Linked DNA regions of Daphnia pulex. The protein of the gene in region 1 purifies or fractionates together with the protein of each later gene. This does not show direct contact. Links are inferred from orthologs where the notes say so. Each region holds a gene or a part of one and is shown in the gene's direction. Other genes may lie near its edges.

Region 1 (5,085 bases):
CAGGTTGGCAAACTATCCGGCCGTCAATCCATCACAAAGTTAGATGTAACTCACCTGCCAACAGCTCAACAACGCAGCATTTGGCATCTTCAATACTCTGACTGGGCTGATCACGGTTGCCCCAAAGATGTGACCTCTTTCCTTAGTAAGACAAATTTGATTGGATATTTTGTTTACAATGTTTGGGGTTAACATAAAAATAATTGATTTCAGGTTTTTTGGAGGAGATGGACACAGTGCGAAGACATTCCGTGTCTGATGTTCCACTGGGTAAGAACCGAAACACGCCAGTGTTGGTTCATTGCGGAGCGGGTGTTGGTCGAACAGGTGTCACCATCGCTTGCGACGTTTTACTTACATCACTCGATCACAATGTTGTGAGTATCATTCAAATCTGCCTAATCAAATCATTGGGCTAATGTTCTTTCTATAATCAACAGGTCGTCGACGTCCCGAAACTTATTAATCACCTGCGCCAGCAAAGGATGCTTATGGTGCAGACCGTTGCCCAGTATCGTTCAATATATGCCCTACTACTTGCTTACCTTGGCCGCTCTCGACTCATTTGATCTTGCAATGATATATTTAAAACACACACACACACACGATGCATTCGGCCTTTGATTCAATTGTTGAAAGATGAACAAGCCAATCAACATGTTCCTCCATTTTTGTGATACTTAGGCAATTCATATGATCACCAACCATTATTTGCTTGCTTTTTTTCATAACATACCACTATTAATGAATTGTGGGAAAGCTATTATACAATTTGTAAAGAGTGTTTCAATCACATGCGTTTCTTCAATTTCTATTGCATTTCTACTAACTCCACGATGTGCAGCAATTTTATAGATTATTAACTCACGCCTAGTCCCTATGACGTGCCTTTTTTTATTGATAGAGAATTAAATAATAAACGATATTTTTAAACAACACCTGATCTTCATTCATTTAATAAATAATAAAAATTATCGAATTAATATAATTGAAATTCCCTAGATGCTCTACAATTTGGCGACGTGGAACTCAATATACCTATCCTCCCGCCTCCCCCCTTAAGCCAGGCACGAGTAAGCCCTGAAGGGATGTTTCATTACCTCTAACCGCCACCAGGAGGACTAAACAGAGACTTCGACTACTATCTCTACTCAGATCCCTTTCGACTCTCGCGCAAAATAGATAGACATTGTTCCCGAACATTGACACACTTGTTAATTATTTTCCAATTTAGTCAACATCTTCGTAAGGTTGGTATATTTTCTTCTCTTAATTTCTTCATTTTGAGTGATGTCAATTGTTGAATATTATCCAAGTTTTGTTTTGCTTGCTCTAACTTGTTTGTCACGACCCTCCCCCTATCTGTGGACTGACTCACTCACAAACAGTCGCTGCTTTGCTTTCGATGCGTAGAGCGCCATAGTGAACACTGTTTCTCAGATAAACCAATTCTTTATCCGTTGACATCCTTGCTCGTGTTTAAAAACTTGTCTATTATATCTCAACTACTGGTCTACTAGGTCAGTTTGTCATTTGCTGAGATTTATTTTATTCGAAATTGAATGCTTCAGTGTTACACGATCAAAAGTCTTTGTGTATATGGACGCCGATTCTGTTGACTTACCGCCATTGACAGATTCGATTTTTCTCATTTTATTTCAGGTTTAGTAAGCGACGTTTGTATGTGCACAGAAGACTGAAGCCATAGTTCCTGCTTCTTTGGTTTCACGTTATTTTCGTTTGCAGAAATCGTTCGCCTTCGTTGGAGAAACTTAAGTTCAAGTGATCGTTGTTGAAGAAGGAATTCGGCATTTTGCTCGAAAGTTTTGTTAAGTAAGAAGAAAAAGAAAAGAAGAGAAAACCATGGCAGAAGCCGTTGCTAGTCAGCCAAGCTTAGTGGCCAACAATCATGCCCTTTCGCCGATGAGACCCAGTCCTCAGCCGCTAATTGCGAAGCAGTAAGTCTTAAAAATCATGTGTTCTTTGTTCGTATTTCATGACTGTTTTTGTTAATATTTTAGAGAGAATAACTCTGACAATTTCTGGAAGTCTCAGTTGAAGATCCCACCCAAGGATCGTAGAAAACAGACTAGCGTAATATTCTTTCATTCAAACATCTATGAGAGTTGGGGGTTAAATTTTTGGTTTAATTTCAGGATGTTACCAACACTAAGGGAACAAGTTTTGAAGACTTTTGTCTGAAGCGTGAATTGTTGATGGGTATCTTTGAAAAGGGATGGGAGACACCTTCACCCATTCAAGAGGTTGGAATTCCTATGGCTCTGACTGGGCGTAATATCCTGGCTCGTGCTAAGAATGGAACTGGAAAAACAGGTGCTTATTGTATACCAGTATTGGAACAAGTAGTTCCGTCTGAGCAACACATCCAAGGTACTGACAAGTTTAAGTTTTTCTTACAGTTCTGGGCCTAATTTTTTTTTCTTTGTAGCATTAATTGTTGTGCCAACACGTGAACTGGCATTGCAAACAAGCCAAATCTGCATTGAACTAGCTAAACATTTGGATATTCGTATCATGGTGACTACTGGTGGTACTGACCTGAAAGATGACATTATGAGGATCTTTGGAAAAGGTATTCATTATTCCTTGTTTACTTCCATGCAAGTTTTAACAATCATTGTTTCTTCCAGTTCATGTTGTGATTGCCACTCCTGGTCGTGTTTTGGATCTGATGGAAAAGAAGATTGCGGTAATGGACCGTTGTAAGGTCCTTGTTTTGGATGAGGTATGTGGGAATTATTAAGAGTTCTGTTAGACGATTGTTCTTATTCTTTTGTGTAACTAGGCTGACAAACTGCTCTCTCAAGACTTCATGGGAATGTTGGATCGTATAATTTCGTTCCTACCAGCCAAGCGCCAAATTTTGCTTTATTCGGCAACTTTCCCTGTAACTGTCGAGGAGTTTATGGTAGGTTTATTGGTTCTTGTAATTTGGTTCTTGATTTAACAATGATTGTATCCACAGAGGAAACACATTGATAACCCATATGAAATCAATTTGATGGAAGAACTAACACTGAAAGGTGTCACGCAATACTACGCTTTTGTCCAAGAACGGCAAAAAGTGCACTGCCTCAATACGCTGTTTTCTAAAGTAAGTAAAGGTTTATTTAGATTTTCAGTATAAGACTGATGAGTTATTGTTGGATTCCCCTTCTCTCGTCTGAGAGAAAATCAACACCTGATTTTACTTGAATTAATTTTAACTGCTGTGTTTTAAAGTCACGATATTAATATCTGTGTTGATATTATAGTTGCAGATCAATCAAAGTATTATCTTCTGCAACTCCACTCAACGTGTGGAACTTTTGGCTAAGAAGATCACTGAGCTGGGCTACTCGTGCTATTACATTCATGCCCGTATGCAGCAAGCTCACAGAAACCGCGTCTTCCATGATTTCCGTAATGGGCTGTGCCGTAACCTCGTGTGCTCCGGTAAGATTTGCTTCATCTTTGTAATGTTAAGTGCTCGACTGTTATGATGAACTTTTTGTTGGATTCCCCTTCTTTCGTCTGAAAGAAAATCAACATCTGATTCATTTAATAATGTGAAGCCAAGAAGAGAAAAGGATGTTGAAACTAATCTTTTGCGTTTTTATAACAGATTTGTTCACTCGTGGTATTGACATTCAAGCTGTGAACGTGGTCATCAACTTCGACTTTCCCAAGATGGCTGAAACTTACCTGCACAGGATTGGTCGTTCGGGTCGGTTTGGACACCTGGGTATTGCTATCAATCTGATTACTTATGAAGATCGTTTCGCCCTGCATCGCATTGAGAGTGAACTTAGCACTGAAATCAAGCCCATTCCTAAGGTTAGTCTTGGATATCTCGTGCAAGTATTCATTGTATTTACATTGTTTTATTTTTTCAATGAAGGTCATTGACAAATCCCTCTACGTGGCCGAGTTCCAAGAAGATTCCGAGGAGCAATCAGGAAAGTAAAAAGGCGAGAGAATGTCTTCGAAAAGCGCATGCATCACACAACGTCATGATAGGACACAAAAAAAAATTGAGAAAAAAGAAAAGAAAATGAATCCTGTAAGTGAAATTTATGAAAGGTCGTTCACTGGGACCAATGTATTGAAGATCAGAATTAATGAAAAGCACTCATTAGCAATTGGAGGAGTGCTGCAGCATGTAGGGAAAAAAACCATTGTACAAGAGTAAAAACAAGGATAACTTTAAGCATGCGCTATCGAAAGACTGTTGTAAATATGTAAATTCTCACGGTGGCGAAGAGCCAGTTTTTTTTTCAGTTTAGGAGAAAAGTTTTTGTTTTGTTTTTTTGGGTACAATGTTTTGCGTGAATGGATGTGTGAACGTCGAAGGCTAAAGCGTTAGGGCGGCAGGTTCCGTAAAAGATGAGATTCCGTCAGGGAGTAAGTATGTGAAATGAAGTTTGGGGGGGTCAGCTTGGTACACTTTGCATTGCTTTTGGAATGGAAGAATCTCGCTCCCAAAAGCAGTCCACTGGTGATGTTACAATGGCTCCCTCGTCGAGGAAAGTTTCACCGATATAAGACTTGAAAGCCGCCCGTTACATTTTATATACATAATCTAGCCGACCCACTACCTGAATGTGAATTGTATATTTGTTAACATGTATCGTACCAAAATTCTCGCCCAACTGCGTTTGGATGGAATTTTTCGTACTCCTCTTAATACCGATTGTGACTCTGTGCTCGCCGAATTGCACGAGCTTTATATCCCGAACGCGACAGTTTGCTGATGAACATTACCGAACGTGACCTGATAGAATGAGCGAGATCTCAAGTGTCATTATGCACTTCTTCCCATCTGTATACCCTCAAGAAGTCGACTTCAAAACAACAAAAAAAAACATAAAAATTCTTAGTTTCACCTCCAGAAGAAACAAAAAAAAAATTTTTCTTTTCAATTTCAAGTGTTTGCCGTTTAAACAAATTGTCGAAATTATTAATAAACGCTTTCTGAAATTGAATTCATTTTCTTAATTTTTCTGTGAATTTACTATTACAATTTATAATGATAAAGTATGTGTAATGAACTTTCATTGTAGTACCTTGGGCGGGTTTAGTTTT
Region 2 (5,085 bases), on another chromosome or scaffold:
GAGATAGAGAGACGTATACGTGAGCGGGTACTACACACATTTCGACATTTCAGGCTCTCGTCTGTATTTTTTTTTAGTTTTCCAACTACCGCCGCCGGCGCGTTTCATCAAAAGTCTAGACACTCACGCAACAACCAACAGCTGATATGTCTAATAGAGTTAAAATACACGAGTTATTATACATACAGTTGATATTGATACACACACAAACTTTAAACGCATTAGACACGTGAAATAAATGGCGGTGCGCAGTTTTTCTACGTTTGTTTTATAAGTATAACGTGAAAAGTTACGTAACAAAAAAATAAAATAAAACAGAAACTGTTGGGGGAACCAGAAAATAAGAGCCGGGTAAAAACTTTGTCGAATAGCAAATTATAGAACGCAGCGCTGAATAATTGACGGTGATGCCGAGGACGAGCAGAGTCTAAATTTTCATTCCTGATAGTTTTGTGTATGTACGTACGTATACGTACATATAGCGACGTATAGAGCGAGATATAAATTTCTCCCGGTGCACATTTTAGAGCGTGGCGTGAGCTTTTAGAGCTAGGTGTGTATTTTCGGTGCAAGTGCGTCGAGCAGAGGAGCGCCATATCCTTGCGATAATTGGAAAGCGTCGCCATGGCAGCAGATGTGCTCCATCAATTAAAGATATATAGAGAGCCAGGCGTGATGCGTTTCGCCGAAATAAAAGCCAATCATCTCACGTAGTTGTATAACCTTTTACTATTTTCCCCATTTTTATCTTCCAGTCAAATCTCCTTTTATTTATTTATTTATTTATTTCTCCATTTGTTTTTTTTTTGCCAGCTGCATTCAATAGAGGGAGATACATGTGTGTCTGCTTTTAATAATTTTTGGGGAGACGATCAAAGTTCGTCGTCCACCTGCGACCTGCAGGAGCCCCAAAGAATATTTCCAACTGTTCACGTAGATAAAAGAATTCAACAAAATCTGAAATGAATGCAACAAACAGGTTGAGCATTCTTTGAAAAGGTGCTCCTAATGAAGCTCCTAGCGGCAGCAGGAGAGTTGGTGAAGATGCGCTCGCAAGTCGACATCATTTGTGTGAAAAGGTCCATGTACTGAACTCGGCCAAGTCCATTTGGACGTGATTGAGTGAAGTGTAATGTGTACAAAGAGAGAGGCTCTATTATACGGATTGCGCAATCGAACTTTGGGGCTCCTTTTCTTTTAGTAGAGTAATGTACTAGGCTATTCGTGAGAACCGTGCCAGAATGAGAGATTCGCCCCTTTTATAATACGCCAAGTCTTTTTTTTTTATTTTTTCACGATGAATTGCGTCCACTTTACAACGGATTATGCCCATCAATTTGACCGTCAAACCGACCGAATTGAATCCACCGTCGTATTATTTTCTATTTTTCAAAAATTTCTTCCCTCAAAGTTTTTTTTATATTTTTGCCTGGCGCTGTTCAATCAATCAGATGATTGGATTGGGAAGACATTTTCGACGTGTTCAAATGTGGGCGCAACGTTCGGGGAACCGGAACGCCGCGGCGATGACAAATTGCTGTCGACAACCAATTCGTTTGTTTGTTTGCTGGCTCGAAAAAAATTTCGCGAGCGAATCCATTTTCTCATTTCACGGGCCTTTGGCGGAATTTCGACGATCGATTCGCCATTTAATCGACCTGACAAAATGGCCTAGAAAAAACAACAAAAATCCTTCGTTTGGCATTGGAAATCGATGAAATTTTACCAAACAGTTTACAAATCGACTCACAGATGGCGTCTAGGATTCTCCCTCCACAGAAAATGGATCCAACAAGCTCCTCCCATCTTTTTCCGGCCTCCGTGTAGTTCCCATTCCCTCCACACAACTCGTGCAGACAAGACTGGCGTAGAGAAACGTCGATCCCGCTGTAACAATTTATTCCATTTGCACTGCTTCGGCGTTGCACTACACAAGTTTCTTTCCAGACGAAACTTTCACCCATTTCGTCGTATCATCACCGACTTTGGCTGCTGGATTATTGAAACTTGATCCAGCTTACTTTTTCTCCAATCAATCATCCAAAGAAGGAAACCTTTTCATATTTCCGTCGTTGACATCACGTAAAACTCCACACCTGAAGGATGTACACCATTTCCAAAGGACCTAGTCAAATCGTGGCCAAAACCCGGCGAGGTAAGCCTCATTTATTATTAATTTCTAGAAGAATCATTTCCTTGTATGTGTGTGTAGGGGGGGGAGGGGATTTTCTACAGAAAGAGAAAATTGTTATTTTGAAAATGTCTGTGGGTACACACACACACGATAGTGCGTGTGGATTGAGACTTGGAAATAAACAGGTCAAAAGGCACAGGTACACATTGTGGATTTTGAACCTCCTCGCTCGTGATCTTGATATTTTAACTTAAAAAATTTCTATTCGTGAAATGTGGCCATGCCTCTTTTGGACAAGTGAAAAGAAATGTAAACGTTTTGGAACAGGTCCAAAAGACGTTCAGTTTGCTGAATCTTTTTCCTTTGTCCGGCTCGACTGTTGTGTCTGTTACGTAACCACGATGGAAGCTGCAGCCGAAGAAGATCTACTAACAAGTTCATTTTTCTTTTCAAATGTAACAGGATTGGCGCAGAAATTGGAGAGTTTGGACACAATTCGCGACATGACGAGGAAGAATTCCGATTCGGATGAAGTGGAATCTCTGGGCTCCATGAGGTGAGTTTATTTAGCATAATAACTGCGACACACATCTCGAGTTACTTGGCTGACGCAATTAACTCTTTTCATCTCGTGTTTCTTTTGATATTGTCAGCCCACCGAGACCTGTATTCCAAGCTGTGAGCACGACGAATAAACGCCACTTTCACAGTAGTCACCGACATCACCACCATCACCAACAGCCTGAAATCCTCACGAGGAGTCAACAGGAATTAATCAAATACGTCTACGACAGTAAGTTTAAACATTTATTTCGAATTGTGTTTAAACAACCCTGTCGCCATGGGGGCGCCTGGTTGTTTTTTGTTTCGCCAGATTCTTTTTAGTCGGAAAACAAACATTGAACTTTTTAAAAGAAAACATGGAGCTTAGCTATCGATATAGTTGGGTCGGACATTTTATGGGGTAGTCTATTGTGTGAATCTCTGAACGAACGGAGAAAGATGGAACCACACGTTCTCTATGGCACCAAGGCCTCTTGACGTCAGCCAACTCTCTGTAGCCCGGCGAAACCGACCAATGAGCAAACTGGATACGAGAGGTGTGCTTGCCATAGCAGGAAAACAGATAACACACACACCAAACCGGTTGCGTTGTCATGGCAACCGAGTCTTGGCAACGGCCAAATTTTTTCTTTTTTTTTCACGCTTTCTATGATCGATCCTTAAAGAACACGCCTCAAATATCGATTCGTTGGGGGCCAGGAGAAATTCTATTTCGAGTTTTTTCCCACCCGTCTTGAAACTTGTCCTCCCAACTCCCGCCCATCGCCTCGTGCACGTGAGTTGCTCGAGTCATATTTTACTGACAAAAATGTTGTTTTGTTTGAATTCCATTGCAGGATGGCAGCGAGTGAATCGAGAATTGAAAACATCAACTGTGCCAACTGCCGAGGGTAAATGTTGCGTCACACAATTTAATTCAGCTAATTATTTTGACTTTGATGTTAATGGAGTCGTTTTGTACACACGACAGGTACCTCCGTGACGTATTACCAGGACGCCAGTCCTAATCCAGCCCTTCAAGGTGAGAATCATTTGCATAGTCTCTTATCTAATCATAATGGTCTAATAATTTTTTACGACGTTGTTTACAGATTTCGAACCTTTCGACCTGGAGGGATGGTGGGGCCGTCGTCTCTACCACACGCTGACACAATCCATTTGAAAGCCAACCGGCCATCAGGGTCTCTACACAAAAAAACAAATGCCGAGCGAGCTATGACCTGTAAAAGAAAAAAGAAAACCATTTTCTCATCACCTTGAAGAAACACAAAAAAGAGAAAGAAGAAACAAACTTCTTGGAAAGAATCCTGCCGAGAGCACCCTGACGAAGCCGTAGAAGAAGATGAGATTTGAATGAATGATTAAAAGGAAATAATAATAGGCGTGAGTGTGGGGAGTAAGGAAAGAGCGAGACACACAAATAATGTAAAACATCAGGTGAACCGGAAAGTAGCTGCCATATCTTTCGTTTAAAAATATTTTTATTTTAGTCGCCACACATCTGGTAGAGAGAAGAAGAATCCCTCCCTGTTCTCGTCGTCCCCTTTAGTTTCTCCAAGAATCCGATCCACTTAAAGAGTGCTCACGTTACTTGGTTGCGGGCTGCTTTAAGTCAATCGGAAACGGGTGAACTGTTTGGGGGAGGTCCCCCTCCAAATATTTTTTTTTCTCTTCTCGTAGGATTTTTCTTTGTTCGTGGTTGATGGTCGGAACTCATTAGAAGAATGTGATACTAGTTGTGGGGGGGAGAGAGAAAGACATAAAAATGGAAATCTGTAGTGAGAGAGAAGGTTGGAAGAAATGAAAGTCAAATGAGCACCGGACTTGCCCCCGTTGTTGTACGTTCGTCCCCCGAGTCTTCTATTATATTTACGATACGATCGGGTTTCTTTTCTTGTAGACAACATATAAGGGCACACACACACTAAAAACTTGACGGCCATTTTGACCTACCCCCCGACCTTGGGTATTTTTTTGTTTTTTGATTTATTTGAATCAAATGATTAATTTTTTTTCTGTTTTTTTTTATTCTGGTTCATTTGTTTTCGAATGAATGTGTGAAAGCATGTCTGTCTGGAGAGCAGCTGAATTGATGATGATAATGTAGTTATGATTTGAAACAATATTAAGGCATGAAAACATGTGACCTGACTCTGTCTCCCCCCTCATATACTGATTTAATAATGTGTAAAGGGTGTGGTGTTGAGGAAATTGAACCGGGTGGAGGGATCCAGCCCCTGTCGAAGCCTTACGCCTTTTGAAGGATGTGCGGATTCGCGCGTTTACTATTTTGAATCCGCACATCCGGTAAAAATGCGTAAGACTTGCGACGAGGAATCTCGCGTATACTTCCACGGTAGTAGTGCCATTCGTTTGGTTAGTTGAAA
Region 3 (5,389 bases), about 550 kb from region 1:
CGGATATACGGTTGGCGCGGCGTTTGCGGCGCGACATCTCTCAACGCGGACGCGAGCTAGAGGGAGTCTTGAAACAATACAGTTCATTTGTCAAACCATCGTTCGAGCACTACATTGCACCTCTGATGGCGCACGCTGATATTATCGTTCCTCGTGGTGGTGACAATGAAGTCGCCATCAGTCTTATTGTGCAACACGTTCAGACGCAACTACAATTGGTGTGCACGATATTACTTCTTGGAATTAATACGATTGGTTATTCTAATTATTGTTCTTTATTCCACAGAGAGGTTTCAAGTTAAGGCCCATCTTGGCTACCGCACAAGTGGATCAGCCACTGCCAAACTCTCTTCATATTCTGCCGTTAACCCCGCAAGTCAAGGGTTTACACACTTTCATTCGTAACAAAGAGACTCCTCGTGATGAATTCATCTTCTATTCACGTCGGCTGATTCGATTAACAATAGAGTTTGCTCTGTCTTTACTGCCGTTTAAGGTATAACCTCCCTAATTAAGATACGCATAAATGTTGTTATTAAAGAAATGGATTGTTTCTTTAGGATACCACGGTAGACACACCACAAGGAGTTTCATATCAAGGGAAGCGCATAGCTACTGATAAAATCGTTGGAGTTTCCGTTTTGGTAATTGGTTAAAGCTTAAATAAATACCATAAAATATTTTTAAAAAATACCGTATCTTTAGCGAGCTGGAGAAACTATGGAACAAGCACTTTCTGAAGTATGTAAAGATATTCGTATCGGGAAAATCCTTATCCAGAATAACATCGAAACAGGAGAACCTGAAGTAAATAGCTAATCAATTTATTATTATTACATTACTTAATAACAAGTTCCTTTTTTTTAAATGAATTTTAGCTGTACTATCTTCGACTACCTCGTGACATTAAAGACTATCTAGTCATTTTGATGGATGCAACTGTGGCGACTGGAGCTGCAGCCATGATGGCGATCAGGGTGCTCCTTGATCATGACGTTCCTGAGGAAAATATCCTAGTCGCCTCCTTACTGATGGCCGCTTCAGGTAATCAAAATTGAAAAGAAATCATCTTAATCGATGCTTTATTTTTCTGCTTATAAATAGGTGTACATTCGATTGCCTACGCCTTTCCCAGGGTGAGAATTGTTTCCTCTGCAGTTGACCCAGAAATCAACGAAAAATTCTTTGTCAAGCCTGGTATTGGTAATTTTGGAGACCGATACTTTGGCACAGGTTCGTCGATTTTTATCTATTATTCATAATAAAATTACTCATCTTCTAAATAATTGAATTATCTTCTAAACATTTTTGTTGTTGTTAATTTTCAGAACCCCCTAATGAAATGTAAAGAAGATTTCCTAATTATTTGAAATAGCTGGATTCCCCTAGTGTATTTTTTCTGTCCCCCTATATGATGCAAGAGACCACTCAGTACTTAATTTTCTTTCTCTTATAAAATTGTGATTTAAAAATCTTACAGATTAATATCTGGACCAAACAGTCATAGAAGACTAAATTAAATGTCTTTTCTTATTGTTTCCACTCAGTCAATCTGATGTTTTTTTACACAGAAAAGAACATAAAAATTTTTGCTTTCTCCTATTTTAGTTTATTATACTTACTAACTGATTATTGGCAAACTCGTGAAAAAGAACAATAATACATTTTGTGTTAATGTGTTATAAACGGCCATTTTTCTTCATTTCAATAAAAAAAATTATATTTCAATGAAATGAATTAAATAAAGACATTAAATAGTTTGTTGGGCATAGGCATTTTAGGCAACAACCAACATTTACCGCCGAATCTTGGAAAAACAAAGATAAACGTTTGTTTATCAACATGTTTGTAAGCCGCGGTGCGATCTTCTTTTGTTTTCGGCTCAGCAGTTACGAGTTACGACGAAGCGAAATCAGACACACAGTTTGTTGCACTTGCACACCGGTCGATTTCGTCGGAGTCGTTTGTCTTTATTAGTTCAGTTAGAAAATTTTGTAAAATTCATCTGTATTTTATCGCACGTGGTTGGTTTTTCTCGCTGATTATACACCCGTCGAGAGATTCACCATGAGCTGCAGTTTTAATGGTCAAACGAGCAAAGATGAGGAACTTACCATGTGTGTGACTATTACTTAACAAATTATTGAGAAAGACTTGATTACATAAATATTTTTACAGTATGTTTTCAGAGGCGATGGATTGGCAAAGTGTTGCAACAAAATCATCAGAAGATGTTGTTATTTATCCAGTTAATGGAGGGCACCGTTCTGGTAGCTCACAGATCAAAGTTAAAAATATAGTTGATTCATCATGGGATAAAGCTTTCCACTGGGGAAACCTGGTTGCCACTCATTACAAGGGGCAATATTTTGCATATGCACTGACAGGTTATTAATACCAACAATGTGCAAGTATTTAACTACATTCACTAATTCTGTTTTGGTTGTTTAGTCCCCGGAAAATCAGCTGGCATGGTTCGAGTGATAAGAACTGGGAGCAGTGATAGAATCCTATTAAAGGGATTCCATGGCTTTGTTCGAGACCTGTCTTTTGCGTTCCATGAGAAAAGGATACTTGTGGCTGCTGTCGATGAATATAGTTACCTTCTCGTCCATGAGATCATTGGATCAACTGCTCAATTGATTTTGCAAGTGAATCCCGATGGAATTACTACTGCCACCGACTGCCATCGTGTAGTCTGGTGTCCCTATGTCCCAGAAAATCCCAAAACTCTAGGTTTGTTGTTATTTCTATTAGAATTTGTATTTTGTTATACTAATTTTCTTGTTTGATTTTCTTTCTCACAGATGAATTGAGTGATGGTTTGAGAAATGATGCTGATGATCATGCATTAATGCTTGCAGCGGTACATGATTGCCGTGTGGAAATATGGCATCTGGGTCATATCAATGGAACAGTCACCTACCCCAGTGTGACTACTGGATCCACTCAAATTACCTCATTTGATGATGCTGTTGTTGATGTGGCATTTTCTCCAGATTCAACAGCAATTGCTGTCGCCAGTTTGGATGGCTACGTCAGATTCTTTTTGGTATGTGAAAATTACTTTTAACTAACTAGGCATTTGCTAAATGCTGCAATTTTTATTCTAGGTCAATATTAAAAAGGAAATTCCAAAAATTTTGCACAAGTGGCAACCACATGAAGGAAAAAGACTCTCAGGCATTATTTTCTTGGACAATCTCAGTCATCCAACTATCAGAGAGTAAGTCTATTTTGTTCGGCATTGTTTCTTCCAATCCTCAACGACACTCTTCGATTCGTCTATAGATGTCCGCTGTGGAAGTGGGCAGTCACATCCGCGGAAAACAACACAGAGTTTAAGCTATGGTCCTGTGAATTGTGGAAGTGCCATCAGACGATCCGTTTCAAATCGGATGATTCTATTCCCATTATCCAAAAAATGACACTCGACTTGTCGGCTTCATTCCTTCTTATTTCCGACATTCATCGCAAGGTTATTTATATCCCACCTTTCTTTGATTTACTCAACTCTCATACCAATCTAATTTTGTCAATAGGCTTTGTACGTTATGCACATAGAACAGGAGCCAGAAGAGAGGAATCCGCTCTCTGATGACGGCGAAGTACCTTCCAAATCGGAAGAACGAACCATCTCGAAAGTGAGCAGCATCACTCAACTCCTGTTGCCTTTCTCAGCCATTAGTGTTGCCATCCGGGAAGCTTCAATTAGGCCACCTTCCCAGCCATTGGGTGACGAGGACTTTGATGGAGATGAAAAGGCCAGTAAAGTGATAATGAAGATGTTCGTAGTGCAGCCCAAGTCGCTGCAAAAGTGCAAAGCAGTCTTTGAATTGGGGACTTCGGTCCCACTGGGCGAGGCTATTGGAACCTCCTTCTCCACCATCAACACCACGTCGGAGTATGAACCGGTGAATGTAGTCAAAACAGCATCCGCTACCAACCACATCAACCTGTTGACACCCGACGCGTTCGTCTCTCCAGCCAAAACCAACACGGATTCCTCATCTCAAAAGCAATTGATTGTGACTTCACCAGGCACCGTGAGTCCCTTGCCGCCTGCATCAGGTGAGATCCTGGCCCTTTCAAGCCCACGACGACCGACACCTGAGGTTACCTCATCAACGACGCCGAAGCGGAACGGCATTCCCAGTGGGGGTAGCAGCCCCAGTCGCGAAGTAGAAGAAATCCTGGGAACAAGACCTATGACGGAAGGCTCGATCGAGTCACCCGATACCTCTTCCGCCACCGTGCCTACAGGTCCAGCCCTTCAAGACGCCTTATCGGCCTATCCCATTTCGTTATCGCCGGCTATGGGTCGCTCAGCCTCGGTCAACAGCAAAGGACCATCCCCCATCATGGATAAAGTAGGGCGTATTTCGATCATTTGCCGATCATTTGCCATTTGTAATTACTATTTGCACACCTCATTTAAAATCTAGTATAACGCACCAACTGTTGAGGATCCGCTATGCACTTACCCTACTTCCGCTGTTGCAGCTCCTACTCCTTCCTCCGTATCTGCGGATTTAAACGGCAGTTTGCTGGAATTATTTAAAGAAGCCCTTGTCGTTGAAGTAGCTTTCGCTTTATTCTATTGATTATTGGGTTATATGTTGGTGTCTAATATTTGAACACACCCCGACACACATCCAGGCTTTGCCAGCGCAAGCAGCGTGGCCGTCCGTTCTTCCGCCACTCAACGTTCAACAACTACAACGGCCCAAAGAGCCGCCAGTGCGCGAAACGGATGCCGGAAATTCTGCTCAGATGCAAATGATGCAACAGACACTGGACCAATTGGTTCAGCTCGTCTCTGCTCAACGCGCAGAACAACAACAACTGAAGAGCGAGATTGGTCAGTTGAAGGCGGAAATGACTCGGATGCACTCACCGGAACCCATCCAGCCTCCATGGATCGCTCAGATGGAATCCACTTTGGCCGTTTATTTCGATCGCCAGACTAAAAAGTTGGACGAAGTTAATTCTCCGGCAAAAACCCAACAAGTATTTGACTATTGAAATCAGTTAATTATTTCTTGTTGATGTATTTTTCTATTATTATTATTATTTTCTAGTCCGTGTCGAAACTTCAGTCGACGATCCGATCCGAATTCGAGAACAAGGCGCATACACTGGAGCAACGAAGTGTTGATTTTATCCGCAAGGAATTGCAATCGGTCATTGCGACGGAGATGAATAAACTGGAACCGTTTTTGAAAAACTCTACGATGCAAATGATGAGCCATTTGTCGCAGAACAAGTCCATCATCGATGCGTACAGCCAAGCTACTTCGACGGCGGCCGTGTCGGCCATGAATCGCGGCTGCAAGGATGCCATCACGTCACAGCTGCTTCCGTCGCTGGAAGTCTCGTTCCAGACACT
Region 4 (4,408 bases), on another chromosome or scaffold:
GATCAATGCACTGGTCTTCAGGGCTTTCTCATTTTCCATTCCTTCGGTGGTGGCACTGGGTCTGGATTCGCCTCCCTGCTGATGGAGCGCTTGTCGGTAGACTACGGCAAGAAATCCAAACTGGAGTTCGCCATCTACCCTGCTCCACAGGTGTCCACTGCGGTCGTTGAACCGTACAACTCGATTTTGACCACCCATACTACTTTGGAACATTCCGACTGCGCCTTCATGGTCGACAATGAAGCTATTTATGATATTTGTCGTCGCAACCTGGACATTGAGCGACCCAGCTACACCAACTTGAACCGTCTGATTGGCCAGATCGTTTCTTCCATCACAGCTTCTCTTCGTTTCGATGGCGCTTTGAACGTTGATTTGACTGAATTCCAGACCAATTTGGTCCCGTACCCTCGTATCCATTTCCCACTTGTTACCTACGCCCCCGTCATCTCCGCCGAAAAAGCTTATCATGAGCAGAATTCCGTTGGAGACATCACCAACGCTTGCTTCGAGCCGGCCAACCAGATGGTCAAATGCGATCCCCGTCACGGAAAGTACATGGCTTGCTGCATGTTGTACCGTGGTGATGTCGTCCCCAAGGATGTCAATGCTGCTATTGCCACCATCAAGACCAAGCGTTCCATTCAATTCGTTGACTGGTGCCCAACTGGTTTCAAGGTAGTATTTTTATAGCAATTGCCCACAGGCTGGTTCTCATTGATTTCTTTCTCCTCGTTAGGTCGGTATCAATTACCAGCCCCCAACTGTCGTTCCTGGTGGTGATTTGGCCAAGGTTTCCCGTGCCGTTTGCATGTTGTCCAACACGACTGCCATCGCCGAGGCCTGGGCTCGTTTGGATCACAAGTTTGATCTGATGTACGCCAAGCGTGCGTTCGTCCATTGGTACGTTGGTGAGGGTATGGAGGAGGGAGAGTTCTCTGAGGCTCGTGAAGATTTGGCCGCTCTCGAGAAGGATTACGAGGAGGTAACAATTTTGATTACGATTTACCCCCCTAGATGATTTTATAATTTATTGTTTGTAAAACAGGTCGGTATGGATTCCGTCGAAGGCGAGGGAGAAGGTGGCGATGAATATTAATTGAAAATTATCATTCCTTGTTAACCAAGAAAAACATGTACCCCTTTTATCTAGTGGCAGGTGCTTGTTGCTTGCTTTCTAGTGTTTCTCGTCTTAATTGCTCTATTTATTTAGAGCGTTTAAAGCCAATATGATACTTCTCGCGTTAAATCCTCTTGTCAATGTTTTATTTCGAACGTCTTTTGGTCAGTTAGTCAGCAATATTTTTCAGCTATGAAAAAGATAATTAAGGATTGTCCATTAATGCAAGTAAAAGATAGTTAAGAATTGTCCATTAATGCAAGTATAAGCATATTTTGGAATATCTGGTATCTGTGATATTAAAAACAGATGAATTTATTATTAAGTGTGTAGCTGGTAGAAAACGTAGTGGTCTTCAACATCTGTATGCGTCATGTTTTTGACAAACACACATGTGACCCCTTTACAGAACATCAATAAAATTGCCGCATAGTTTAAGTTGACTTGAAGTGTTGTGAATGCCAACTGCATCGTAAACTTAGGTAACAGCTGCATCAGCATCTGCTTGTTTAGTTCCACAGACATTCACCAGTAAATGCGAAATATTTGAGTAGGTTATTTATCCACTACCACAAAAAAATATGGAATAATAAACGACGAAACTTTAGCTAAAAATAAAAAAAATAATAATTATAATTCCCGCACGAAATTTACAAAAAAATGAACGACAACGTCACTTCTGTCTGTCAAACGCAGGGGATAACGCGGATTTTGGAATAAAGAGAAGGTAGGGGAATGGGTTTATGGGTGCCCGTGCGGCCGGCATGTCTGCTAGACTCCGCCTACTTTTTACTTGATGTTACCAGCGTTGTCTGATCGGAGTGTTGTTGTGTCTCGCCCCGTTTTTTGGAGAATTTTTTCTGTTTCTTCTGGAGCCAAAATATGGCGTCGGATGGCAATGAGTACTTTTCGGTCGGAAGTCTAGTTTCGTGCAAAACATGCCATAATCAAGTGATCGAAGGCGAAGTCCTCGCCTTTGATCAACCTACCAAAATGCTGATTCTCAGTAAGTTTACCGGCTCTTTTAACTTAACCGATAACTCACGCTCTTGTCGGCTACTTGTCACGCTCATACTTTTTTTTTCCTTGGCACACGCTGTTTGTTTAACTATAAACTCGTTTTTCAAACTGTGCAACTCATTTTCTTCCTTCTTGTTGTTAGGGATATTTGAATTCAGTCTAATAATAGACCTCTGCTCTTTTCAGAATCACCTTCTTCGTGTGGAAGACCCTCTGTCAACGATGCACATGTTGTAAATCTTGGGCAAGTGAGTGATGTTCAAGTAAAGAGAGAGGCAACTTCTTCTCCACCTCCCCATCCAGTTCAGAATGTCGAAAGAGTAAGTTTTAAATACTATTTACTTTTATCAATCATGCTATATACATCTTTTATCCTCGATTGGTAGCTGAAGAAAAGGGTGCGTATGGAAGTAGAAAGAAAACAACACATGATAACTGCCCTGGAGTCTGGTGTTTCTCCTGAAGGGCTCAAGCTGTTTAATGCTGTCAAACGAACGTGAGGATAACAGCAGGGAATCAGAGAAACAACATAATCTATTGTTTATAAAAATTAACTACAGGATTGAGGATGTTGCATGGGAAGGCAAAAACATTCGAGTCATGGATCAAGTGACAATTAGTCCCCCGTATCATCCAGAAAATGTCCAGGGCAATATGGAAAAGGCTGTGAACCATGTTAGAAAAATTGTGAGTGTCTGGATTAATCACTACTATACATCAAATAAGCTAAGATTTTATTTTCTTGTTATAGGTTGAAAAGTACATGAAAGACCATTCAGATACAAAAGGAGGAAGCAGTGAAAACAGTAATACATTAGCTTCTCCGTGAAATCAGGCAAAATATGGCCCCACTCTTTTCACGACGACCAGTACCATTTTCTCCATCCTGCTTCACCATCTTCTCAAAAATTCTAGATAATAAATAAATACAACAACTTCAAACAAGCAAAGAGAATGCTGGTTCTTCACAGCTGTAAAATACGTCCGATTAAAAAATACTTGATGATTTTCGGAGCGTGTAGTGGCGTATGAAATGGCGAGATGATATACAATGATAACTTCTTGTTTACTTTCATTGAGTTTTTATTTTAAGTACTTATATTGAGTTAAATTATTATTGCTGTAGCCAACTGATTTCAATTGGCCTTGGCAAATTGGATTTTGTGTGATACTGCATTTTTTGTTCTGATTTAGACCACTTTTCACTCGGCCAGTACAACTTAGTAATTTTTTATATTATTCGTTTTCTTATCAATCAATAAGCAAGTTGTCGAGTTCTTACTATTTTTATCTAAGTAAAATACTTCAACAAACAATTCCTTCAATTCCTTCTCATGAGATTACAATGTCACAGCTGAGCTGACCGGGTTATATTTGTTAAGTAAAGGGAATATTGATTTTGTCAAATGCTGATGCTTCTGAGATAACGCCAACCCGAATCACGGAATCATCATATTTATAACAAAATTCAAGATTTTTTTCCCTTTTTTTAATTTTATTTCGATTAACTTTAAAACTGGTCGCTAGGTGGTGCTCATTCAATTTTCATTTATTTTATAAATGTCAAGTTGAAGTTAGTGATTTTCTTTTTGAAATTGACAAATTCATTTCTGAACAAATATATAAATTTTTTTAATATCCTAAATAAGTGAATAGTATAAATTAAATTCAGATCCCATTATAAATCTGTGACCGAGGTAAAAATATGGCAGCTGTGTATCAACTTCAATCGTCGTCTCATTTACATATTTTGGCTGAAACCAGAGCTAATTGAGCGGGAATCAAAGTGATTCATAAGACATTTCAGTGATTAGTTAAACATTCGTTCTTCCTTGTTATCCTATATTTGTGTACTAAATTTGTGTGAATGTGACCTTACAGACTATTTTCGTGAATGCAGCCATCGAAATTCCATCTGGTTTCAACGTGGGACAGTCTCTGTTCAAACTTTGGTAAGTCCCGGTCTTTTTATTATTCCTGGTTTTCTGTGAAATCCTTTGTTTCCCTGGTTAAATGCTATGCGTTTCGTTGGTCATTCGTTAGTCACGTTTTTTTCAAACTCGCCATTTTTGGATTTTTCACGAACAAGTTTCTTATTCCCACGTGTCCAAAGGCTTAACTTGATAATAGCTTTAGACCTTTGATGAAAAAAGGACTTGCATTAGTTATTGAAAATCCCCATTTTTGATGATTAGAACGTACGTACACAGTTCTTCTATGTAAATTTCAGTCAGATCGTAAAAACAGATTAGGCCATTCGTTTGCAAC

The links. Proteins that work in one complex are often made in the same cells at the same time.
Region 2: the proteins of ATP-dependent RNA helicase me31b-like (region 1) and mapk-regulated corepressor-interacting protein 1-like purify together in Homo sapiens (co-immunoprecipitation; 5 studies listed by BioGRID and IntAct, with this or other methods). This does not show direct contact. The link is inferred for Daphnia pulex from reciprocal best matches to the Homo sapiens genes DDX6 and MCRIP2.
Region 3: the proteins of ATP-dependent RNA helicase me31b-like (region 1) and enhancer of mRNA-decapping protein 4-like purify together in Homo sapiens (affinity purification with mass spectrometry; 4 studies listed by BioGRID and IntAct, counting the BioPlex papers as one, with this or other methods). This does not show direct contact. The link is inferred for Daphnia pulex from reciprocal best matches to the Homo sapiens genes DDX6 and EDC4.
Region 4: the proteins of ATP-dependent RNA helicase me31b-like (region 1) and protein LSM12 homolog A-like purify together in Homo sapiens (affinity purification with mass spectrometry; 5 studies listed by BioGRID and IntAct, with this or other methods). This does not show direct contact. The link is inferred for Daphnia pulex from reciprocal best matches to the Homo sapiens genes DDX6 and LSM12.

The regions. Positions count from the first base shown.
Region 1 is NC_060018.1:12,397,077-12,402,161, reverse strand, and holds ATP-dependent RNA helicase me31b-like, read left to right. Parts: upstream 1-1,863; coding exon 1,864-1,958; intron 1,959-2,021; coding exon 2,022-2,094; intron 2,095-2,156; coding exon 2,157-2,391; intron 2,392-2,449; coding exon 2,450-2,593; intron 2,594-2,651; coding exon 2,652-2,746; intron 2,747-2,806; coding exon 2,807-2,929; intron 2,930-2,986; coding exon 2,987-3,115; intron 3,116-3,275; coding exon 3,276-3,456; intron 3,457-3,625; coding exon 3,626-3,837; intron 3,838-3,901; coding exon 3,902-3,967; downstream 3,968-5,085. Other genes in the region: tyrosine-protein phosphatase non-receptor type 14-like, read left to right, coding at 1-145, 214-377, 441-569.
Region 2 is NC_060017.1:7,806,288-7,811,372, reverse strand, and holds mapk-regulated corepressor-interacting protein 1-like, read left to right. Parts: upstream 1-1,802; 5' UTR 1,803-2,103; coding exon 2,104-2,155; intron 2,156-2,596; coding exon 2,597-2,690; intron 2,691-2,787; coding exon 2,788-2,927; intron 2,928-3,534; coding exon 3,535-3,588; intron 3,589-3,668; coding exon 3,669-3,719; intron 3,720-3,789; coding exon 3,790-3,860; 3' UTR 3,861-3,886; downstream 3,887-5,085.
Region 3 is NC_060018.1:11,849,841-11,855,229, forward strand, and holds the start of enhancer of mRNA-decapping protein 4-like, read left to right. Parts: upstream 1-1,890; 5' UTR 1,891-2,067; coding exon 2,068-2,117; intron 2,118-2,178; coding exon 2,179-2,387; intron 2,388-2,451; coding exon 2,452-2,736; intron 2,737-2,807; coding exon 2,808-3,052; intron 3,053-3,113; coding exon 3,114-3,226; intron 3,227-3,291; coding exon 3,292-3,478; intron 3,479-3,542; coding exon 3,543-4,370; intron 4,371-4,445; coding exon 4,446-4,580; intron 4,581-4,659; coding exon 4,660-5,010; intron 5,011-5,081; coding exon 5,082-5,389. Other genes in the region: uridine-cytidine kinase-like 1, read left to right, coding at 1-218, 287-496, 561-644, 706-807, 879-1,044, 1,105-1,233, 1,329-1,348. UniProt on the Homo sapiens protein: In the process of mRNA degradation, seems to play a role in mRNA decapping. Component of a complex containing DCP2 and DCP1A which functions in decapping of ARE-containing mRNAs. Promotes complex formation between DCP1A and DCP2.
Region 4 is NC_060021.1:9,119,079-9,123,486, reverse strand, and holds protein LSM12 homolog A-like, read left to right. Parts: upstream 1-1,880; 5' UTR 1,881-2,002; coding exon 2,003-2,126; intron 2,127-2,326; coding exon 2,327-2,460; intron 2,461-2,526; coding exon 2,527-2,636; intron 2,637-2,700; coding exon 2,701-2,827; intron 2,828-2,891; coding exon 2,892-2,969; 3' UTR 2,970-3,209; downstream 3,210-4,408. Other genes in the region: tubulin alpha chain, testis-specific-like, read left to right, coding at 1-678, 740-985, 1,049-1,099. UniProt on the Homo sapiens protein: Nicotinic acid adenine dinucleotide phosphate (NAADP) binding protein. Confers NAADP sensitivity to the two pore channel complex (TPCs) by acting as TPC accessory protein necessary for NAADP-evoked Ca(2+) release.